4 linked regions of the Arabidopsis thaliana genome follow. The protein of the gene in region 1 purifies or fractionates together with the protein of each later gene. This does not show direct contact. Each region holds a gene or a part of one and is shown on either strand. Other genes may lie near its edges. The genes, in order: AP1, KNAT3, CHR17 and SYD.

Region 1 (6,397 bases):
TATCTTAGTGGATCGAGATATTGTATATAAAATATGTATGCTACATCGAATAATAAACTGAAAGAGAGTAAAAAGGGATATTTAATGGGAAGAAAAGAAGGGTGGAGATGTAACAAAGGCGAAGATAATGGATATTCTTGGGATGTTGTCTTCAAGGCCACGAGCTTAGATTCTTTTAGTTTTGCTCAATTTGTTAAGTTTCTACTTTTCCTTTTGTTGCTTACTACTTTTGCTCATGATCTCCATATACATATCATACATATATATAGTATACTATCTTTAGACTGATTTCTCTATACACTATCTTTTAACTTATGTATCGTTTCAAAACTCAGGACGTACATGTTTAAATTTGGTTATATAACCACGACCATTTCAAGTATATATGTCATACCATACCAGATTTAATATAACTTCTATGAAGAAAATACATAAAGTTGGATTAAAATGCAAGTGACATCTTTTTAGCATAGGTTCATTTGGCATAGAAGAAATATATAACTAAAAATGAACTTTAACTTAAATAGATTTTACTATATTACAATTTTTTCTTTTTACATGGTCTAATTTATTTTTCTAAAATTAGTATAATTGTTGTTTTGATGAAACAATAATACCGTAAGCAATAGTTGCTAAAAGATGTCCAAATATTTATAAATTACAAAGTAAATCAAATAAGGAAGAAGACACGTGGAAAACACCAAATAAGAGAAGAAATGGAAAAAACAGAAAGAAATTTTTTAACAAGAAAAATCAATTAGTCCTCAAACCTGAGATATTTAAAGTAATCAACTAAAACAGGAACACTTGACTAACAAAGAAATTTGAAACGTGGTCCAACTTTCACTTAATTATATTGTTTTCTCTAAGGCTTATGCAATATATGCCTTAAGCAAATGCCGAATCTGTTTTTTTTTTTTTTGTTATTGGATATTGACTGAAAATAAGGGGTTTTTTCACACTTGAAGATCTCAAAAGAGAAAACTATTACAACGGAAATTCATTGTAAAAGAAGTGATTAAGCAAATTGAGCAAAGGTTTTTATGTGGTTTATTTCATTATATGATTGACATCAAATTGTATATATATGGTTGTTTTATTTAACAATATATATGGATATAACGTACAAACTAAATATGTTTGATTGACGAAAAAAAATATATGTATGTTTGATTAACAACATAGCACATATTCAACTGATTTTTGTCCTGATCATCTACAACTTAATAAGAACACACAACATTGAACAAATCTTTGACAAAATACTATTTTTGGGTTTGAAATTTTGAATACTTACAATTATTCTTCTCGATCTTCCTCTCTTTCCTTAAATCCTGCGTACAAATCCGTCGACGCAATACATTACACAGTTGTCAATTGGTTCTCAGCTCTACCAAAAACATCTATTGCCAAAAGAAAGGTCTATTTGTACTTCACTGTTACAGCTGAGAACATTAAATATAATAAGCAAATTTGATAAAACAAAGGGTTCTCACCTTATTCCAAAAGAATAGTGTAAAATAGGGTAATAGAGAAATGTTAATAAAAGGAAATTAAAAATAGATATTTTGGTTGGTTCAGATTTTGTTTCGTAGATCTACAGGGAAATCTCCGCCGTCAATGCAAAGCGAAGGTGACACTTGGGGAAGGACCAGTGGTCCGTACAATGTTACTTACCCATTTCTCTTCACGAGACGTCGATAATCAAATTGTTTATTTTCATATTTTTAAGTCCGCAGTTTTATTAAAAAATCATGGACCCGACATTAGTACGAGATATACCAATGAGAAGTCGACACGCAAATCCTAAAGAAACCACTGTGGTTTTTGCAAACAAGAGAAACCAGCTTTAGCTTTTCCCTAAAACCACTCTTACCCAAATCTCTCCATAAATAAAGATCCCGAGACTCAAACACAAGTCTTTTTATAAAGGAAAGAAAGAAAAACTTTCCTAATTGGTTCATACCAAAGTCTGAGCTCTTCTTTATATCTCTCTTGTAGTTTCTTATTGGGGGTCTTTGTTTTGTTTGGTTCTTTTAGAGTAAGAAGTTTCTTAAAAAAGGATCAAAAATGGGAAGGGGTAGGGTTCAATTGAAGAGGATAGAGAACAAGATCAATAGACAAGTGACATTCTCGAAAAGAAGAGCTGGTCTTTTGAAGAAAGCTCATGAGATCTCTGTTCTCTGTGATGCTGAAGTTGCTCTTGTTGTCTTCTCCCATAAGGGAAAACTCTTCGAATACTCCACTGATTCTTGGTAACTTCAACTAATTCTTTACTTTTAAAAAAATCTTTTAATCTGCTACTTTATATAGTTTTTTCCCCCTTAAGTTGACTACTTGATTTGCCCTAATTATTCACTACTGCTTTTGTTTATATATTTTCTAGGGCTTCCATTTTTGGATTTTTTGATTAGCCAGAAAAATGTTTAATACAAATTTGTATAATTTAAAAATCAAAACTTTAGGGCCGTAGTGAAGTGAACCCTAGAACACACTAATTATACCATAGTAATTACCTTGATATATTGTGCAATATTTATCAGCATCATATCTTCAAACTCAAGAGCATATAGAAGGGTGTATGTTTAATCTTTGAACTAGGGTTTTGATCCCTAACTCATAATGAATTCTTTTGTTCTCCAATAGCCATGTCTTTCGAATTTGCAGATCTAAGCTCTAATTGATGCCATAGTAAGAAAATAAGATCTGTAGTTTTCACTCGCTCACTGAGTTCGAGTTTTAAATGAAGTGTCGTTTCTTTTTTCATATATAAGTTGCAACTGGATTATAATTAAAAAATATTATGGGACGAGAAAATAAATTAAAATAGATATAGATAATAATGTCAAATTGAGAATTTTTTATTAGAAAGAATATTTAACTTACGAGTTGTTTTTTTTCAGCTGTAAAAGAATATCTAATTTGTTCTCACGACTGTGTCTTCATGTTTTGCAAATCTAAGCAAAGAAAATGTTTAAACTCGGATCTTAAGATTATGAACTCGTAATATAAAACACTATATAGTATTAAATTTGAACTAGTGTTGCTTCTTTTTCTATTTGACTTTAGAAATTAAAACTGAAACAAAGATGTCAAATCTGAGTAGGGAGTCTTTGACCTCTGGGGATCCATAAAAAGAATTAACTCCATCCTAAAATCGGCTTCTTACCGATGGTCAAACTTAGCTCCAACAAGCAACAGCTGTTCTTCTTTTTTTTTTTTTCTTTTTTTTTTTAAGCATTGTCCTTGTTCTGAAAAAAAATAAGATTGGTAAATTGGCAAGATTATAATAATTTATTATAATGTGTCGCATCTAAGAAGATTTTCTGTACCTAATTGTAGCAAAATTAAAGAAACCGCAGTTAGAACTCGAAGCTAAGAGCATAGGGTCTATGATTCATACTGTTTTGTTATTATAAAGGTATCATAGAGATCGGTACTTGATTTGTTATAGGAAATCTTGGTTTAATTGCATAAAACCATCATTAGATTTATCCTAAAATGTGATGATATTTTGGTTACATCTCCATATTATTTATATAATAAAATGATAATTGGTTGATGATAAAGCTAACCCTAATTCTGTGAAATGATCAGTATGGAGAAGATACTTGAACGCTATGAGAGGTACTCTTACGCCGAAAGACAGCTTATTGCACCTGAGTCCGACGTCAATGTATTTCAATAAATATTTCTCCTTTTAATCCACATATATATTATATCAATCTATTTGTAGTATTGATGAATTTTATTTGTATAAAACTTCTGGTACACAGACAAACTGGTCGATGGAGTATAACAGGCTTAAGGCTAAGATTGAGCTTTTGGAGAGAAACCAGAGGTACACATTTACACTCATCACATTTCTATCTAGGAAATCGATCGGGTTCCATTTTAAAGTAAGTTAAAATTCATTGATGCTATTGAAATTCAGGCATTATCTTGGGGAAGACTTGCAAGCAATGAGCCCTAAAGAGCTTCAGAATCTGGAGCAGCAGCTTGACACTGCTCTTAAGCACATCCGCACTAGAAAAGTATTGCCTTCTGCTATTTCGTTGAACATATCTATATAACTTAAACGTTTACAAGTGTTATTATAATGTGAACATTGAAATACATATGTGTATGTATCAATATATATATCAGTAATCAATATCAATTTGATATGTCTATAGGTTGGTTCGAATGTATGAGTTATGTTGTGTATTTTAAGACTCATATTACTTAAAGTAATGGGTTGTTAATGTTGATGTGTGTGTATGCAGAACCAACTTATGTACGAGTCCATCAATGAGCTCCAAAAAAAGGTATGTAAAACCCCTATCAAATGTATGTCTTATAGAGAAACGTATAGGAAAGCTAATTAACAATCGTGCCGTTTCGGAAATGACAGGAGAAGGCCATACAGGAGCAAAACAGCATGCTTTCTAAACAGGTAACACATGTCATCATTTCTCTTTCATCAACATGTTGTCCATTGCATTACTGTTACCTTCCACTGTTCTGCTCCACACTTCCAGCCAAGCTATACCTACGATATCTTCATATCTCCACTTAACTTCGGCACCATTAAATAAAAATAGAAAATCTTTGCAAATTGTTTGAAATAGCATAGATGTTGTCTATTGATTGATATAATCACCAGCCTGTACGTAGATATGGTTTGTCCGTTTAGTTTTAAGGTTGTCTCTCGGATTGAAAATATTTGAAACTTTGAAATGTTGTCCCATCATTCTACTTAGCTCATATCTATGTATATGAATATAGACACTACTCCTAATTATAAAAATGTTATAATAGTTCATTGCATGAGTGCAACTGTGAAAATAACTATTTGTAACCATTGCATATATATAGTTTCTTCACTTTGAAAATTGATGATGATAATATGGTTTGAAATAAATTTGCTGGCAGATCAAGGAGAGGGAAAAAATTCTTAGGGCTCAACAGGAGCAGTGGGATCAGCAGAACCAAGGCCACAATATGCCTCCCCCTCTGCCACCGCAGCAGCACCAAATCCAGCATCCTTACATGCTCTCTCATCAGCCATCTCCTTTTCTCAACATGGGGTAACAAAAAATTACTAATCAGTCTTAATTTAAAGCACATATGTTATGCAAGCTAGTTACGTTAGGTGTTGTAATTTCATTGAAGTTATAGCTGTTAGTGATGGTTACATGATGTCATGATTTTGAAACTAGAAAACTTTATTTTAAAACATTATTTTATTAACGTAGGTTAATGCAATGGTCGCCAAACGAACAAACTTATTAGTGTGGAAAATGTACATGGAATGGTTGCGAAAAGCCTAAGTCGACTTTTTGTTGTTGTTGGTCTATGTGTTTAAGTACAATTTTAGTTTGTTAGATAAATGAAATTAATATATCTTTGACATTTCACAATGGACTGATATTTGATTTTCCTTTGTTGTACGGTGAAACATATGATTACATATGCACTTTCATATATATCCTATGTATGATTGTGAATGCAGTGGTCTGTATCAAGAAGATGATCCTATGGCAATGAGGAGGAATGATCTCGAACTGACTCTTGAACCCGTTTACAACTGCAACCTTGGCTGCTTCGCCGCATGAAGCATTTCCATATATATATTTGTAATCGTCAACAATAAAAACAGTTTGCCACATACATATAAATAGTGGCTAGGCTCTTTTCATCCAATTAATATATTTTGGCAAATGTTCGATGTTCTTATATCATCATATATAAATTAGCAGGCTCCTTTCTTCTTTTGTAATTTGATAAGTTTATTTGCTTCAATATGGAGCAAAATTGTAATATATTTGAAGGTCAGAGAGAATGAACGTGAACTTAATAGATCGGACCTTTTTTTTTTTTTGTTGCATTAAGTTAGGAGTGGCAAAATTTCTTATTATTTCAAGTTTACAACAAGCGAACTTGAGTGGTTGGGCCGTATTAATCGGAATAGAACCCAATTAGAATCAAGGAAGGATGTTGGCCTATAAAGGCCCAGAATTTGCTTCTAATTAGATAAGATAGGCAATAATAACAGTGCCTCCGAATGGATGAGGATCTGTAATGTAACACCCTGGTAGTCTCTCTGATACATTTGTTTGATTAGTGATCGAATAATTAGTGTGTATTGACTTGTTTCATGGAGCTAAGGACACGAGACTTACAGTAAAGGGACCAGTGAAAATGCCCACTAAGGTTCTTAAGATATATCACCACCAGAAAGGCACGTTGTGGTAAGCGTAACTCTCACATTATCTTCTCTTCATCTACATTCAGTAAAATGTTGCTAAACTCAAGAAAAGGCACGTTGTGGTAAGCGTAACTCTCACATTATCTTCTCTTCGTTGTATTCCTGCTAATTTTTTTAGAAAACAATTTCTGTATTAAACATTTTGGT
Region 2 (4,806 bases), on another chromosome or scaffold:
CCAAACTCAAATAAATAAAAAAATATACGATAACTTTTATTGTGACGATCGAATATACTACCATCAAATTTTATACCAAATTTCTGTTTCGTAGCATGTACGAAAATTTTCACTCCAAAAAAAATCTAAAAATTATATTTACCAAAAACTGTGATTTCAGAAAATTATGTGATTTTAAAGAACCAGTGATTTCTCAAATTATATTATATGAAATGATTATTATTATTTTAAAAAGGTGAAAGGGTGAAGCAAAAAAATAGTGTGCATAAACAAATAAGCTAATTTGTTTTCTGGTACTTAGGTCTTTTAAATCCATATAAATAAATTCTTAAAAGATTGTTTTATTTCAAATCTTTAACCTAAAATTGTAACTTTAAATTCATGATTAAATTTTTTGTTTTCAATAATTTCTCGTAACTTCATTACATAAAACGAGAAGGATTTATAATAGGTAAAGGCGTGAAGCAAAAAATAATTGTATAAATAAATAAGTTAAATTTGTTTCATAGTGCCATAAAATTACACTAACATCTGAACGTGAAACGCACGCGCTTCTTCATATCATAGATACGTTGCGTCTTAAAACACAACACGTAGCAACTCTTTTTAAAAAGGAAAAATACATTTATTATTCCCAACAATAAAAAAAATCAAACACAGTCGAAGAAGGCAACGACCTTTCGCAGCCGTCAGATCTTAATAAATACAGTCGCCACTAAAATTTAACGACATAGATCGAACCATGACGACCTACTTTCTTTAATTAATTTTCTGTCGTGACCTAATCTTCTATTTGTTGTTTCATTAGTCACTTACTTTTATATTTATTCTTTCTTAGGTCTATGTGGACCAAAGTGATTGGAAAAGAAAAAAAAATACATTTTTGTCAACCATAACTAAATTATCTTATTTTCTCAAATGCACTGTTTATTATGTAGCGTACTGATTTATTAAATACTTTTGCTTTCTATGGTTAATTTATGATGTCGGATTTTTATCTTTCCCCCAATAATAATATCACTATAGAAGAAAGTTTACAAATTCTTAGTTAAATCAAAAAAGATTTTATCAGTTGATTTGATTATACGAGGTGACATCAATTTTTGTCTTCTTTAACAAAAAAAATCAATTTTTGTTTTCTTTAACAAAAAAAATCAATTTTTGTCTTACTTTTTAATTAGCATTTAGAAAAATATTTAACAAATAAAAGTTCTCATAAGCGATTTTTAAAAAAATGTTTTGTTTTTACTATCTTTCAGTTTTTTTTTTTAAATTAATTTTCTAAAAAAACACATATATTAAAAAACATATTAAAACTAATTATAAACATATTATCTTTTGTGATTTATATTTTTTTATAATTCTAAACCAATGATATTCAATTATTTATCTTAAAATTAAAAATTTATCAATAATAACTAATAAATAATGTATAGAAAATTTAAAAATTATTTTTTTTAAAACAATTTTTTTCCTCTAAAAAATTAAATAATAAGGAATAGAGAAGGAATATTTTTTTATCTAATAAATTCCATATAATAATTCAATTATATTGATAAATAGGTTGCAAAAAATAAGAAAGAATAAATATGAGAATAAATGGTCATCTCTCGATCTCTCAGCTCTGTGCAACTCTGAACACACCCACACATATATACTCAGATACATACATACACACCACAAAAACCAATTATTTTCCAATTTTAAGAAAAGTTTCTGTGTCTTTTTTTTTTTTTTTGGTGATAATTGAAACATATGAAACAATCGTCGTCATAGAAGCAGCAGAGATTCACCTTCTTTCTTTATCTTTCCCTCTCAGAAACAGGAAACAAAATTCAAAAAGAACAAAAAAAAAAAGGTCAAACCAAAACGATGGCGTTTCATCACAATCATCTCTCACAAGACCTCTCCTTCAATCATTTCACCGACCAACACCAACCTCCACCTCCGCAACCGCCTCCTCCTCCTCCGCAACAGCAACAACATTTCCAAGAAGCACCGCCTCCTAATTGGTTAAACACAGCGCTTCTTCGTTCCTCAGATAACAACAATAACTTCCTCAACCTCCACACAGCCACCGCTAACACCACAACCGCAAGCAGCTCCGATTCTCCTTCCTCCGCCGCCGCCGCCGCCGCTGCTAACCAGTGGCTATCTCGCTCCTCCTCTTTCCTCCAACGAAACAACAACAACAACGCTTCCATAGTCGGAGATGGGATCGATGATGTCACCGGAGGAGCAGACACTATGATTCAGGGAGAGATGAAAACCGGCGGTGGAGAAAACAAAAACGACGGCGGAGGAGCTACGGCGGCGGATGGAGTAGTGAGCTGGCAGAATGCGAGACACAAGGCGGAGATCCTTTCGCATCCTCTTTACGAGCAGCTTTTGTCGGCGCACGTTGCTTGTTTGAGAATCGCGACTCCGGTTGATCAGCTTCCGAGAATCGATGCTCAGCTTGCTCAGTCTCAACACGTCGTCGCTAAATACTCAGCTTTAGGCGCCGCCGCTCAAGGTCTCGTCGGCGACGATAAAGAACTTGACCAGTTCATGGTATATAAATTTCAGATTTTTTTGTTCTATAATTTTATAATTAACGATTTCATAATTATACTTAGCACAAATTTTAATAATACACACCGACTTAGGTTTCTTGATTTTTGAAATCTTAAAATATTAAAATCAAGATTTGTGTTTTTAGGGATAAACAAGACTAAAATCCCAAAAAAAGAGCTTATGATATAATAATGGTCATGATGATGAAGAAAATACAAATTTTGTTCTTTGTGTTTATTGTGTGTTTGATTAATGTTTTTTTTATGGTGTAGACACATTATGTGTTGCTACTGTGTTCATTTAAAGAGCAATTGCAACAACATGTGCGTGTTCATGCAATGGAAGCTGTGATGGCTTGTTGGGAGATTGAGCAGTCTCTTCAAAGCTTAACAGGTGAGAAAATGAATCCTGTGATTAGCTCATGAATCCAATAGTTAGTTTTATGACATTGACAAGTTTTGTGTTTTATTGGTGAGATTAGGAGTGTCTCCTGGAGAAGGGATGGGAGCAACAATGTCTGACGATGAAGATGAACAAGTAGAGAGTGATGCTAATATGTTCGATGGGGGATTAGATGTGTTGGGTTTTGGTCCTTTGATTCCTACTGAGAGTGAGAGGTCGTTGATGGAAAGAGTTAGACAAGAACTTAAACATGAACTCAAACAGGTAATAATCAACAAACTTGTTCTTTGAACTAGTTCATGAACTAACAATGTAGAGGGCTTTGTCTTGTTGATGAAAAGGGTTACAAGGAGAAGATAGTAGACATAAGAGAGGAGATATTAAGGAAGAGAAGAGCTGGGAAGTTACCAGGAGATACCACCTCTGTTCTCAAAGCTTGGTGGCAATCTCATTCCAAATGGCCTTACCCTACTGTGAGTTCACTCATCTAACATCTCTTTATAACTTCTTCAAGTTCATTCATTGAGCCATAACCAAATATTGGTTTGTAGGAGGAAGATAAGGCGAGGTTGGTGCAAGAGACAGGTTTGCAGCTAAAACAGATAAACAATTGGTTCATCAATCAGAGAAAGAGGAACTGGCATAGCAATCCATCTTCTTCCACTGTATTGAAGAACAAACGCAAAAGGTATTATTATACTTTAATATAGTCTTGTAACATAACCGAAAAACTTATGGATCGGACTCAAAGAAGACTGAAACTTTTGTTTGTCTGATGAAAGCAATGCAGGTGACAATAGCGGAAGAGAGCGGTTCGCGTAGAAACAACAAACATATGATGTGAATTGGGGAGGTGGAAGATGGGATTTGAAAGCAGGGTTTTAGGGATTTAAAGTTGAGAATTTTATGGAGGAGTTTGGATTATACAGAGAGAGGGGACAGTATTAGAAAGTAACTTTTTGTGCAATTACATAGTAACGTAGTTTGGTTATGTGATTATGCCCATATATTTTATTAAGTAGCACACAAACCAAAAAGAAAATATGAAAACTGAAGATGCAGGCTTTTGTTTAATGTTTTTTGTTTGTTTGTCTGCATGAGTTTTTTTTTTATGAACCATCAGATAATCATCATCATCATCCATAATATATCTTGTGAATAAAGATAGTGAGAGAGGAGAACATTGGGATGCACAAGTTTTCTTAATCTACTAGTATATGTTACGCATTGACCAGGTGCATATGTTAATTTGTATCGCACCACTTGGTTAGCTTAATCTATGTGACTATTATACAGTATATGTTTCGCATTAACCGTACTTAACCCATCTTATGATTCTTATCCGCTTAGTTCGTAGTATTTATTGCGATGTCACATTCCAACTCGTGATATTGGCTTGATAAGTAAAAGACATTATACATGGTAGATGACGACAAAAAATAAAACATACCCCATCTTACATAACGTAGCTTGCTGCGTACTTTTGTAATTGTAATAATTTGAAACGTGTTCTTTTTTCTAGTCAAAATTGTTTGTTTATCCTCATCTTGTTGTTTCGTTTGTCACGTTTGTGATAGCCACAAGTTACTGTAAGTTTTCGGCGAGATTTTTCTATCGATCACGGAGAGATTCTGCACACATTAACAAAGATAATTAGAGTGTCCTTAAGTATTTTGGTCGCCTCTCTATTAGAGGACCATACAAAGTTCAAAGACTAGTCTCATGAGAAGCCCATTAGTACATTAGATTAAATCTAGGAAAGTAGATTCATATAAGTAGTTTTGTAATGAACATCAAAGTTGTTAACTTAGAGAATTGTCATTTGGATTGTATAAATGGTTTGATAAA
Region 3 (8,003 bases), on another chromosome or scaffold:
AAGCATTAACCAAGTTTATGCGAAGGAGTAGCTTTTAGATTACAATGACTAGAATAAAACCTGTGTTCTTGAGTTCCCCGAAATGCAATAATGATAGCATTCAAATCCTTAGCCACCCCAACATACGCCTGTTGTTACAAGTTACATGTACTGATATTAATAATTGTTCAATGAAGAAACATCATGAGTTCATGACCAGCTGTAGCTTATGATATCAGAGCAGACCTGTAAGCAGTGTTCAACGTCAAATATGACCTCTATTACTTCGAAATCCTGCACCATCCTAACAAACGTTAGAGCTCAACTCAATAATTGCGGCTTCAAAGTTCAAACAGTGATCTGCTTCAACATGTGTTTTTTACCTTTGTCAAACCATTGCATCTTTCGCACGTCCAAGTGAAGAGTTTTGTCAAATCAGACTCATAGACCTGCATACATCTTACAAACTTGATTCACTCATCTTATGTACGTTATCAGCATCATCTCTTTTCTCTAGTAGTGCAAATAATGATAAATGAAAATATGAAGAGGACAAGTGTAATTTCTTCTCACTTGCAGAACACTAGATATAAATGACATTCGTTCTACAGGGTATTACGTTTTGAAGCTAAATCATTATCAAAGGTCTTTTACTACTTCACTAATCTGCCATTAACTTACCGCAGAGGCATACTCCACAAGCGTGACGGCAAGCGTATGGTTGTAAACAGGTCGATCATCATCGCTCTTCAACTTGAGAACTGCAGTTAGAAGAAAGAAGCTAACATAAATCCACTTGCTTCAGTCTTAACTCCTTCGTAGCCTCACAACTCATACCAAGAACATGAAATTGTCGAAAACATAAAGCTTTGAAATCAATATTTTGACCTTCATGGTTCCTTATGTATATGATGATGCTACAAGGATTATGAATTGATTTGTTCCAAACATGATAGAACATGTAATTAGGCCTTAATGAAAAATCACTGTAGCCAGATTAAATTTCCAATTTCCCAAGCACTTCACATTACACAGAAAGTTTAAAATCTTAATTAAGCTCAGAGAGACTCAGGAGAATAAAAAAACTGGAAGTCCCAATAAAGGAAACAGACATAGAATCATTATAGAAGTTGCATTACCACCTCTACCATATGAAGATGAAACAAGAAAAGTAAAAACTGCCAGCAAGAACAACAATCTCTTTTGTCCCATGTTCTGCAAGAAGACAATAAACACAACCACATCATCCTCTGTTCATCAACCAATGTTAAGGGCAAAATTGAGCTAAAACAAAGCAGAATTCGGAAGCAAATTAGCCAAAAATATACCTTATAAAACGAGACTCACGAAACCCAAACTAATGAGGATTAGGACAAAACCCGAAAGAGATTTCAGCAACCAAAAGTCCCAGATAAATTAAACTGAGGATCCAAAGCCTAAATTGGACTTCTTTTACAACAATTCGGAAATTTCCGACGATGATCGGAGATTATTCCCGGCAAGAAAATTATACGGCGAGCTTATATATTATTATATAGAAGTCGTGATCTTGCGAAACAGAAGCTAATAGAAGAAAAGAAACGGCGATTAAAATACGAATATTCGGTTTTTTTTTTCTTAACTTCCACTTTCATCCTCTATACGCAAAGGTGCATGAGACAAGCGTGTAGGCTCTTTCAAAGGGTATTATTGGAATTTTAGGTGTGTAGCGTGTCGCAACTTCAAGTGCTGAGGTGTCAGATACGTGATTCGGGCGGATAAATGGATAAGGCCGTTCCGTTATAAGAACGAGAAGTTGACCTTTTTGACTTTCGCTTTCTTCTAAGTTTAACTTCGAGCCCATGGGCCTTTAAAGCCCGAATTCCAAGGCGGGAATTTCCGAAACTCTTACTTCTCAAGTGGCGGGAGAATCTTTATAAGTCAAGCCAACGTGGCACATCTCAGCCGTAGATTTGATTTCTCGAAATCAACGGGGTAAAATAGAAGCTACGGTCGTTTCAAACGTCGGGTTTGTTGCTTTTAATTTCACTTTTGTTTATTTACTAACCAAAGCAAAAAAAACTCAGGAACCCTCGATTCGATCTCTCAGACGAAATCAGGATTCGTAGAGGCGCGTCGATGGCTAGAGCTTCGAAGCGGGAAGTTTCTTCAGACGAGGCTTACTCGTCGGAGGAAGAGGAGCAAGTTAACGATCAGGCCAATGTGGAAGAAGATGATGACGAGCTCGAGGCCGTCGCTCGCTCTGCGGGCTCTGACGAGGAAGATGTTGCGCCCGACGAAGCACCTGTCTCTGACGACGAGGTTGTCCCCGTAGAAGATGACGCTGAAGAGGTATGTCTTCGTTTCTGTTTTCCACTCTTCGATTTACATTCGCATGTCGGCTGTGAATTCGGGGATTGCTGTATTTGGAAATCTGAATGTATTCTAAGTAAGATTAGGGTTTCCTTTGAGCGTATATTCGATATTTGGGTGTCTTTTGGTTTCGACTCTCTTTGTTTGAAGGTTTATGCTTAGAAGTGCTTACAATGATGGGTGGTCGCTCATTATGATGGTACATTCATGTGACTCGTGAGGATATTTGGTCACTCTTTTCATAATTTGATGGTTATATGTAGGACGAAGAAGACGAGGAGAAAGCTGAGATCAGCAAACGTGAGAAGGCTAGACTCAAAGAAATGCAGAAGATGAAGAAGCAGAAAATTCAGCAAATCTTAGACTCCCAAAATGCTTCCATAGATGCTGATATGGTAAGTTAGTAAATAACTGAGCTGCTTGTCTTTAGTATCCAGAGGTATTGAAATAACTCAATCATTCCATTTATTAGAACAATAAAGGAAAGGGGAGGATAAAGTATCTTCTGCAGCAAACTGAGTTATTTGCACATTTTGCTAAAAGTGACCCGTCTCCGTCCCAGAAGAAGGGAAAAGGAAGGTGTGTTGAGTGCAACTTATCTCAAAATAAATTGTGGTTATTCATATTAAGTTTCCAGAAATATAATTTATTGGGTTTCACTTTATCGTCAGGGGTCGCCATTCTTCCAAACTAACCGAGGAAGAGGAAGATGAAGAGTGTTTAAAAGAAGAAGAGGGTGGTATAGTTGGATCTGGAGGCACACGGTTGCTCACTCAGCCCGCTTGTAAGTACCTTTGTTTTGCTCCTAATATCTTGATATAGCGTATGTTTGCTCAAGTCCTATTGCGAGTCGAAGTTATTATAGGATTTGACACCTTATGCCCACTTCTTTGATTGGTAGAGTTGTTTGATATATTCTTCAGTTGCGAGCTCACAATTTCTAGGTAGGACTGCATAAATTCTGTAGAATTTAGAGATCTGATCTTCATACTCTTCATATTGCAGGTATTCAGGGGAAGTTAAGAGATTACCAATTAGCTGGTTTAAACTGGCTCATTCGGCTGTATGAGAACGGCATAAATGGGATTCTTGCAGATGAAATGGTAAACCACTAATTATCTTAGCATATAATAAGATTTTTCAGCTCTCTAATGTTATCTGATGCTAATCTTTATTGTTTTTGTTCATGGTCTAGGGTCTGGGGAAGACGCTTCAAACCATTTCTTTGTTGGCTTACCTGCATGAGTACAGGGGAATTAATGGCCCTCATATGGTAGTTGCTCCAAAATCAACCCTTGGTAACTGGATGAATGAAATTCGCCGATTTTGTCCTGTCCTGCGTGCTGTGAAATTTCTCGGTAATCCCGAGGAAAGAGTAAGTCATAATAGCTCTTACATTTGAATGGTTGCATTTATATGCACCTGGCAGGATTCTGAGATATATTTTAAATAATGCAGAGACATATTCGTGAAGAACTGCTAGTTGCAGGGAAATTCGACATTTGTGTAACAAGCTTTGAGATGGCTATCAAAGAGAAGACAACATTGCGCCGTTTTAGCTGGCGATATATAATCATTGATGAAGCACATCGAATTAAAAATGAGAATTCACTCCTTTCGAAAACCATGAGACTTTTCAGCACCAACTATCGGCTTCTTATCACGGGAACCCCCCTTCAGGTACTTGTCAAATCTTTTGATCTATAATTGTTTAGATCCTTCAATTTTTCTGTCAGATTGCTTCTGCCTATGTTGAAACTACTTTCTTGCTTGAGTCTGTTGAACTTAGTTTTTTTTTCTTTTCGTGTTCCTTAGACATGCTTCTTACTATCTTCTGTACTTGATTTGCTTGAGTTAATATTGTATTCATTTCATATGTTTCTACTACAGAATAATCTCCATGAATTGTGGGCCCTTCTCAATTTTCTTCTCCCTGAGGTTTTTAGTTCAGCAGAAACTTTTGACGAGTGGTTTCAAATTTCTGGTGAAAACGACCAGCAAGAAGTTGTTCAACAACTTCACAAGGTATGTACTCATATTTTATCAAGGTTATTCTCTAAGTTCTTATGCTAATCATTTACCTCATCTTTGTAGGTTCTGCGACCATTTCTTCTTCGGAGGTTAAAATCAGATGTAGAGAAAGGCTTACCTCCAAAAAAGGAGACAATACTCAAAGTTGGCATGTCTCAAATGCAAAAACAGTACTACAAGGCTTTACTGCAGAAGGATCTTGAAGTGGTTAATGGTGGTGGAGAACGCAAACGTCTGTTGAACATAGCAATGCAATTGCGGAAATGCTGCAATCACCCTTATCTCTTCCAGGGTGCGGAGCCTGGTCCCCCATATACTACAGGAGATCACCTTGTAACAAACGCAGGTAAGATTTACATTACAAGTAGATCATTCAGAAATGTGGCAATTGGCTTAGTTATTTTCTCTTTACATGTTCTTGTTTCTAGGTAAGATGGTTCTCTTAGATAAATTGCTACCTAAGTTGAAGGATCGAGATTCAAGGGTTCTGATATTTTCTCAGGTATTCATTAACGCAAACAAATAATTGTTCCTATCTTTGATTCCTTTTTTCTGAGTGATATCTTTCTTGGTTCTTTGTGCTTATTCCAACGATTTTGCTCATCTGTATCAGATGACAAGGCTTTTGGATATTCTCGAGGATTACCTAATGTATCGTGGTTACCAGTACTGCCGTATTGATGGAAATACTGGTGGTGACGAACGAGATGCTTCCATAGAAGCCTATAACAAGCCAGGAAGTGAGAAATTCGTTTTCTTGTTATCCACTAGAGCTGGAGGACTTGGTATCAATCTTGCTACTGCAGATGTTGTGATCCTCTATGATAGTGACTGGTAAGGCTCTTTTTGTGTCCATTGTAATTTATGAGTGTTTTCTTTTATGCCTAATGAGGTGGGTGGATTATGGCAGGAACCCTCAAGTTGACTTGCAAGCTCAGGATCGTGCACATAGGATTGGTCAAAAAAAAGAAGTTCAAGTGTTCCGGTTCTGCACCGAGGTTACTCTTGTACCCATGTGTATGAAGTAAGAATGACCTGGAGAACTTGAACTAATTCTGCATTGGTCTTATGCAGAATGCTATTGAGGCTAAAGTCATTGAGAGAGCTTACAAGAAGTTGGCACTTGATGCTCTGGTTATTCAGCAAGGGAGATTGGCAGAACAGAAAAGTAAGTGCTTGTGTACTGAGGCTGTTAGATGTATTGGATTTTCTCTTACATATATATACTGATTTCTTTTCTTTGCTTTCCAGCTGTTAATAAGGATGAGTTGCTTCAAATGGTGAGATATGGTGCTGAAATGGTGTTTAGTTCTAAAGATAGCACAATTACGGATGAGGATATTGACAGAATCATTGCCAAAGGAGAAGAGGCAACGGCTGAACTTGATGCCAAGATGAAGAAATTTACTGAAGATGCAATACAGTTTAAAATGGATGACAGTAAGTGTGCTATTTATCCCTTTTTCCAATGGTAACTCCCTTGCATGGGTAATGGGATGTCCAAACAAGATAGTTTTTGGTTTGTTGCAGGTGCTGACTTTTATGATTTTGACGATGACAACAAGGTATTCTTGGATAATTAATTGAATGATTGAAGGAAAGGTTTAACGCATACTGTGGTTATGCTCTGCAGTTTTTCGAATATCGTTTCCTGATTTCTTTTTTAATTTTGTTTGGTAGGATGAGAGCAAGGTGGATTTTAAAAAGATTGTGAGTGAAAATTGGAATGATCCACCAAAAAGAGAGAGAAAGCGCAAGTAAATATTACTTCTACTTTTTCATTACGTGGTCTATCCTGTCTTCCTAAACAATATCTAACTTCAACAATTTACTTTTCTCTACCCACCCTTTAGCTACTCTGAAGTTGAATACTTCAAGCAAACGTTGCGACAAGGTGCTCCAGCTAAACCTAAAGAGCCTAGAATTCCACGCATGCCCCAATTGTGAGTACCTCAATTGTCTCCACTCTGCATTTAGCCTTTTCCCTGTCTTATTTATAGTACTTTTATCGTAAAAATCTAATTTCTTGTCCATCCTGCAGGCATGATTTTCAGTTCTTTAACATTCAGAGGCTGACTGAGCTGTATGAAAAAGAAGTGCGATACCTTATGGTGGGAATAACAAGTTTATCAACATGTTATGTAATTTATGCAGCTTTTGTGTCTGATTAGTTCTGAATAGCAATTTGTTTCACTCTGGTTTCAGCAAGCACATCAGAAAACTCAAATGAAAGACACAATTGAGGTTGATGAACCTGAAGGTCTTTCTCAGTCTTTGCCCTCTTTTCTTACATTATTTTACTGAATCTATTACTTAAGAAATAATTTTGCAGAAGTTGGAGATCCCTTAACTGCTGAAGAAGTGGAAGAAAAGGAGCTATTGCTGGAAGAGGCAAGCCAAACCATTCGACCTTACTGTGGGTTGACATTTGTTTTTGATGGTTTTTTTATAATTTAATGGAGTTGATATTTTTTAGGGTTTCTCAACATGGAGCAGAAGAGACTTCAATGCCTTCATTAGGGCTTGTGAGAAGTATGGCCGGAACGACATAAAGAGTATTGCCTCTGAGATGGAAGGGAAAACTGAGGAAGAGGTTGAACGATATGCTCAAGTTTTCCAAGTGCGATATAAAGAGCTGAATGGTTAGTAACTTTAGATTGTTAAGTAAAGTTAATGAGTGTTTGCAGTGCGACAAAGTTGGATATTTATCCTAAGTAAGCTCTGCCTCTTGTTTTCCTTTGTAAAAATTGTAGATTACGACAGAATCATCAAGAATATTGAGAGAGGGGAAGCAAGAATCTCTAGGAAAGATGAAATCATGAAAGCTATTGGGAAGAAACTGGATCGCTACAGAAACCCGTGGCTGGAACTGAAGATTCAATATGGTCAGAACAAAGGGAAGCTGTACAATGAAGAGTGCGACCGTTTCATGGTATGACATCTATTTATCAAACTCTTTGTTGAGATTTCATTGTTATTGTTTTATTCTAATATGATATTGACCCGATGAACTTGTGATTATCAGATATGCATGGTCCATAAACTTGGGTATGGAAACTGGGATGAGCTAAAGGCAGCGTTTCGGACATCCCCCTTGTTTAGGTTTGACTGGTTTGTAAAATCCCGCACAACTCAGGAACTTGCAAGGAGATGTGACACACTAATCAGGTTGATTGAGAAAGAGAATCAAGAATTTGATGAGAGAGAGAGGCAAGCCCGAAAAGAGAAGAAGCTTTCAAAGGTGAGGACTTGAAGGAACATTTTTTTTTTTTTGTGCGAAGAACATTTTAAGTTTACATTTTCATTTACTGATGAGATGCTGTGGAATTGTTTCTCATGATCTGTTCTACAACTTGTTTCAGAGTGCAACGCCATCAAAACGACCTTCGGGTAGGCAAGCAAATGAGAGCCCTTCATCTCTTCTGAAGAAACGAAAGCAGCTGTCAATGGATGATTATGTGAGCTCGGTACTCAAAATCATTTCCAAAACATAAAAAGAGTTTTTCATTTTACTGGTTAATTCATGCAAAGCAGACAGACCATCTATTTCTGATCCTAACTAAAAAAAAACTTTATGTCTCTGCAGGGAAAGCGTAGGAAATAAGAAGGCTTGTGTTGAATCCATCACTAAGTAATCAGAA
Region 4 (4,562 bases), on another chromosome or scaffold:
CTTCTCTAACACTAGCAAGCGTCACAGTATCTCCAAATACGGCTCGGAAAGGCAGAGGCAGACGCGGTTCAAATCTTGAAATCAAAGGATAGTAGAAAATCAGGGTGATCTAGTGATGGTAGACCATGAAATGGGATCTCTTCTAGGGCATACCAGTAAGTGTTTCCCTTTAGAGACACGCCACTGTGTTTGTACAAAATATACCAGTCTGGAGTGAAATCATCAATGACCTCCCATGAATTGGAGTATAAACTGTAAATCTGAAGCTCACGAATTCGGTCCCTACTGGTCTCCAAGTACTCATTCACGAATCTCAAGATTTTGTGATTCTTTTTCTCGTATCCGAGAGCGTACTTCACGCACTTGTGGTAGATAGAATTTCTAGGTAATTCGATATACCTTGTTTGTCCCAAATAAGGGTTCCAAACAACAACCCTAGAAGAGTCTTTGTCTCTGTCCTTGTTGATGCATAAGAATAAACCCTTGGCAGTGAAAGATTTTAGATATTTTGATTCCATCTGCATTGAGATTACCTATAGGATCTATAGACGGAGAGAGTAGATCTACGCTCATCAAGGAAACTCTATAGTCCATCATCATCACCACCTCAATTCCATTCCTCTGTTTCTTCTTTAAAAAGCTCTCACTTTTCGTTATAGTGTTCCACTTTTTGCAGGTCAATCGCAGTTTCCCCAGAGATTTCACCGGAACCCTAGAGAGCACCTCCTCCTCCATATCAATTGGAAGATCGAACATCTTCGAATCGAATCTCCCAAAATCTCTCTCTCTTTTCCGTGTCTATCAATCCATCTCTTCACGCCCTCTTTTAGTGATATAACTTATCTTTTTCAATTTGGGCTTTATGGTAATGGGTCAAGGCCCATTAAGGGGTCTCGTTTAGAACTCTTGATTAATGTCTGAAATAAGTTTTATACATTTCTTCATTTGGAGAGTCATTTCGCAGAGACGACGCATAGCTTCTTCACTTGTCAGCTCTCAACGTTTCTCACCTGAAATTTCACTTCTGCTTCGTCTTCTCGAGCCGGATCTCTAATTTGTAAAGCTCCCTCTCTCTTTCTTCTTGTTCTTCTTCGTCTCCTTCTACACTGATGGATCGTTATTTAGCTATTTAGGGTTTTGTGAGTTGCATTAACTAGAGTAACTCGCGAATTCTTCTCCTTTGCCTTGCGATTTGGGGAATTTTTTAGCTCCATCAGCCAATTTTACAATTTTGTATGTATCCGTGGATTTATCACATGAATTGTGGACCTCTGAGTTTTTTTTTTTTGTTAGGTTCTTCTCGCTTTAGTTTTGCTTTTAGGTACATAAATTTTCCTCCTTTATGATTTACTTGCTCTTGGGCTATTTTCTTTTATTTGTTTGGTATGGAGTATGGACTCTAGAGTTTAGTTTAGTTTTTTTTTTTGGGCACATTGGTTGGAATTAGTCTTGTTTTATTCTGAATTGTGTAATCAATATCTGCATGCTTGTGGTGATGCAGGGAATTCTTATGTGATGGTGTAATTTAAGTTAAGATGACGTCTTCTTCGCATAATATTGAGTTGGAAGCAGCTAAGTTTCTGCATAAACTTATTCAAGATTCTAAAGATGAACCTGCAAAGCTAGCAACTAAACTTTATGTGGTAATGTGGCTTCACCACTCAGTGTATGTTTTATTTTGTAATTTTGAGCTTTATTCCTGTGCTTTAACTTTGTTTATTCTTTCGATTACTCTAGATATTGCAGCACATGAAAACCAGTGGAAAGGAAAACACAATGCCCTATCAAGTCATATCTAGGTATTGTTTTCCTTATATATCGTCGCTGGTTATTTGTTAATGAATTACTGATTAGGTTGAGATGATATAATCTTCTTACGCTGTGAGGACGTGGGGGCTGCTTCTTACTGAATCAGTTGCTTTAGCCTTTATCTAACTCAAGACTTTAGAATCTAGTTATTCTGGGTCTTTCAGCGTCAAGCTGTTTCTCATGCTTTCAAAGATTTATCACTTTTGTTTTACTGATAAAGTCTTTCTAAAACTCCCAGGGCCATGGACACTGTAGTCAATCAACACGGTCTTGACATTGAAGCTTTGAAGTCCTCGTGTCTTCCTCATCCTGGTGGTACCCAAACGGAAGATTCTGGGTCTGCACATTTGGCTGGTATATCCTCTCTCCTTTGTTTCAGTTGAGTGTTTCAATTGTTTTTTTTATTTATTTATTTATTATCTTAAGCTTCTTGCATCAATGTGGAATACAGGGTCTTCCCAAGCGGTTGGAGTTAGCAATGAGGGTAAAGCAACTCTAGTTGAAAATGAGATGACAAAATACGATGCATTCACTTCTGGTAGGCAGCTTGGTGGATCAAACAGTGCGTCACAAACCTTTTACCAAGGGTCTGGAACTCAAAGTAACAGATCATTTGATCGTGAGAGTCCATCCAACTTGGATTCTACGTCTGGAATTTCTCAACCTCACAATCGTAGTGAGACAATGAATCAAAGAGATGTCAAGTCGAGTGGAAAGAGAAAGAGAGGTGAATCATCACTTTCATGGGACCAGAATATGGATAACTCTCAAATATTTGATAGCCACAAGATTGATGATCAAACTGGAGAAGTAAGCAAAATAGAAATGCCCGGTAATTCAGGTAGGGATATTTGCTTCAACATTGTTTCTTACAGAACAAAGCATATCCTTTTTAATCTAGAATATAAGAAGCACCCTACAATTGTTGCCATTAAACCTCAGGTGACATTAGGAATTTGCATGTTGGGTTGTCCTCAGATGCATTCACGACTCCACAGGTACATAACACTAAGTTTCCCGAATCCATCCAGATTATATACATATTGTGTACATAACATTAGGTTTATGAAATCATTTTGAGCCTCCCTGACTCTGCCAATTTCAAATATTTTGGGACTTTGTGCTACACGTATCTGATGCACAATAACTTCTTAAGAATGTATAAAGAGATATATGCTGGCACATGGTGGCTTATTCTCCGAAACATTTGTCTCTCCTTAGAAGTATTATTTTCTTATCTATTTTCGTTTTCTGTATTGGAAATATGAAAAAAATGCTTGCATTTCCCGTGGTGATTTTCTTTGTTTTTTAACCTAAAAAACTTAGATGCCACTAAATTCACTTTTTCAAAAACGTGATTTGATTAAAACTTTGCCTTCTATATGATGTATTGAATCTTACTTGCATATAGTCTGACTTAGGCTCTGCAAAATGTCCTTTCCTCTTTTATTTCATACCAAGATACCTCGTTGGAACTCATCCCCTCTATATGTGGGATCTTATTTTCTATGGCAGTGTGGCTGGCAGAGCAGTGAAGCCACAGCAATCAGGCCTGCAATTCATAAAGAACCTGGAAATAATGTTGCAGGAGAGGGATTCCTGCCTTCAGGTTCACCTTTTAGAGAGCAACAACTGAAGCAGCTCAGAGCCCAGTGCCTTGTGTTTCTAGCTCTTAGGTACCTTACAGTCTCCTAGCCTCTGTATACTCCTTTTGGTGCGGCAATTGTAACTCTAAAAATTTCTGGTTGATTTTCATCTCGTAGAAATGGTTTGGTACCGAAGAAACTTCACGTAGAGATTGCCCTTCGAAATACTTTCCGCGAAGAAGGTAATGTTGGTGCTCACTGAAGTTACTTTCGAATCCACTTTTTACATGCTTTCCCTTGGATCATAATTGGTCTTCATTACAGATGGTTTCCGCGGAGAATTGTTTGATCCGAAAGGGAGAACACATACGTCCAGTGATCTGGGTGGCATTCCTGACGTCTCTGCACTGTTGTCAAGAACAGACAATCCCACTGGAAGATTGGATGAAATGGACTTCTCATCCAAAGAAACTGAGAGATCAAGACTAGGGGAAAAAAGTTTCGCAAATACTGTATTTTCTGACGGGCAAAAGCTTCTAGCATCTAGAATTCCCAGCTCTCAAGCACAAACTCAGGTTGCTGTTAGTCATTCTCAACTAACGTTTTCTCCTGGTTTGACCAAAAACACACCATCAGAGATGGTGGGGTGGACTGGAGTAATCAAAACTAATGACCTCTCAACTTCTGCTGTTCAACTCGACGAATTTCATTCTTCTGGTTAGTGACTATCTTAGATGGGATTGTTTTAACTGATGGGTCTTTCCCTTTTGGAGTGTAGTATTGTTAACTAATTTGATTGATAACTCTTCGAATATGGATATATGGCACATAGCAGATGAAGAGGAAGGTAATTTGCAACCGTCGCCTAAGTACACCATGTCACAGAAATGGATTATGGGTCGACAGAATAAGAGACTATTGGTTGATCGTAGTTGGTCCCTTAAACAGCAGAAAGCCGACCAGGCAATTGGTTCACGGTTCAATGAGTTGAAGGTCTTTCTCTAGCCTTTTCTTTCATTGGTGTTACCTTTTGTTTCACGAGTGATTGATTTTTCCTGGTGTCAACGTTTTATGCTGTTGCTTGTTGTTTGTGGTGGTTCTTACTTTTCCGTGTTCTTGATCTTGTTATTGGAACAGATCAATGATCATATTTAAGTATCCGATTTT

Evidence for each region.
Region 2: the proteins of AP1 (region 1) and KNAT3 purify together in Arabidopsis thaliana (affinity purification with mass spectrometry, with the first as the bait; one study listed by BioGRID). This does not show direct contact.
Region 3: the proteins of AP1 (region 1) and CHR17 purify together in Arabidopsis thaliana (affinity purification with mass spectrometry, with the first as the bait; one study listed by BioGRID). This does not show direct contact.
Region 4: the proteins of AP1 (region 1) and SYD purify together in Arabidopsis thaliana (affinity purification with mass spectrometry, with the first as the bait; one study listed by BioGRID). This does not show direct contact.

Annotation. Positions count from the first base shown.
Region 1 is NC_003070.9:25,981,776-25,988,172, reverse strand, and holds AP1 (K-box region and MADS-box transcription factor family protein), read left to right. Parts: upstream 1-1,823; 5' UTR 1,824-2,070; coding exon 2,071-2,255; intron 2,256-3,235; exon of another isoform or gene 3,236-3,421; intron 3,422-3,597; coding exon 3,598-3,676; intron 3,677-3,776; coding exon 3,777-3,841; intron 3,842-3,934; coding exon 3,935-4,034; intron 4,035-4,265; coding exon 4,266-4,307; intron 4,308-4,393; coding exon 4,394-4,435; intron 4,436-4,914; coding exon 4,915-5,069; intron 5,070-5,237; coding exon of another isoform or gene 5,238-5,274; exon of another isoform or gene 5,275-5,494; coding exon 5,495-5,597; 3' UTR 5,598-5,879; downstream 5,880-6,397. UniProt on the Arabidopsis thaliana protein: Transcription factor that promotes early floral meristem identity in synergy with LEAFY. Is required subsequently for the transition of an inflorescence meristem into a floral meristem. Is indispensable for normal development of sepals and petals in flowers.
Region 2 is NC_003076.8:8,734,336-8,739,141, forward strand, and holds KNAT3 (homeobox protein knotted-1-like 3), read left to right. Parts: upstream 1-1,608; 5' UTR 1,609-1,872; coding exon 1,873-2,553; intron 2,554-2,828; coding exon 2,829-2,949; intron 2,950-3,037; coding exon 3,038-3,222; intron 3,223-3,299; coding exon 3,300-3,431; intron 3,432-3,509; coding exon 3,510-3,646; intron 3,647-3,740; coding exon 3,741-3,780; 3' UTR 3,781-4,266; downstream 4,267-4,806.
Region 3 is NC_003076.8:6,196,153-6,204,155, reverse strand, and holds the start of CHR17 (chromatin remodeling factor17), read left to right. Parts: upstream 1-1,989; 5' UTR 1,990-2,097; coding exon 2,098-2,310; intron 2,311-2,594; coding exon 2,595-2,726; intron 2,727-2,803; coding exon 2,804-2,910; intron 2,911-3,002; coding exon 3,003-3,115; intron 3,116-3,336; coding exon 3,337-3,434; intron 3,435-3,526; coding exon 3,527-3,706; intron 3,707-3,789; coding exon 3,790-4,011; intron 4,012-4,221; coding exon 4,222-4,356; intron 4,357-4,425; coding exon 4,426-4,708; intron 4,709-4,790; coding exon 4,791-4,864; intron 4,865-4,975; coding exon 4,976-5,196; intron 5,197-5,272; coding exon 5,273-5,360; intron 5,361-5,436; coding exon 5,437-5,530; intron 5,531-5,613; coding exon 5,614-5,802; intron 5,803-5,892; coding exon 5,893-5,927; intron 5,928-6,042; coding exon 6,043-6,119; intron 6,120-6,215; coding exon 6,216-6,305; intron 6,306-6,403; coding exon 6,404-6,473; intron 6,474-6,567; coding exon 6,568-6,622; intron 6,623-6,694; and 12 more. Other genes in the region: AT5G18630 (alpha/beta-Hydrolases superfamily protein), read right to left, coding at 61-128, 226-273, 363-428, 661-740, 1,119-1,191. UniProt on the Arabidopsis thaliana protein: Possesses intrinsic ATP-dependent nucleosome-remodeling activity. Constitutes the catalytic subunit of several complexes capable of forming ordered nucleosome arrays on chromatin. Involved in the formation of nucleosome distribution patterns.
Region 4 is NC_003071.7:12,055,236-12,059,797, forward strand, and holds the start of SYD (P-loop containing nucleoside triphosphate hydrolases superfamily protein), read left to right. Parts: upstream 1-1,535; coding exon 1,536-1,643; intron 1,644-1,737; coding exon 1,738-1,799; intron 1,800-2,047; coding exon 2,048-2,163; intron 2,164-2,260; coding exon 2,261-2,650; intron 2,651-2,751; coding exon 2,752-2,807; intron 2,808-3,324; coding exon 3,325-3,485; intron 3,486-3,572; coding exon 3,573-3,637; intron 3,638-3,719; coding exon 3,720-4,112; intron 4,113-4,227; coding exon 4,228-4,388; intron 4,389-4,562. UniProt on the Arabidopsis thaliana protein: Catalytic component of the chromatin structure-remodeling complex (RSC), which is involved in transcription regulation and nucleosome positioning.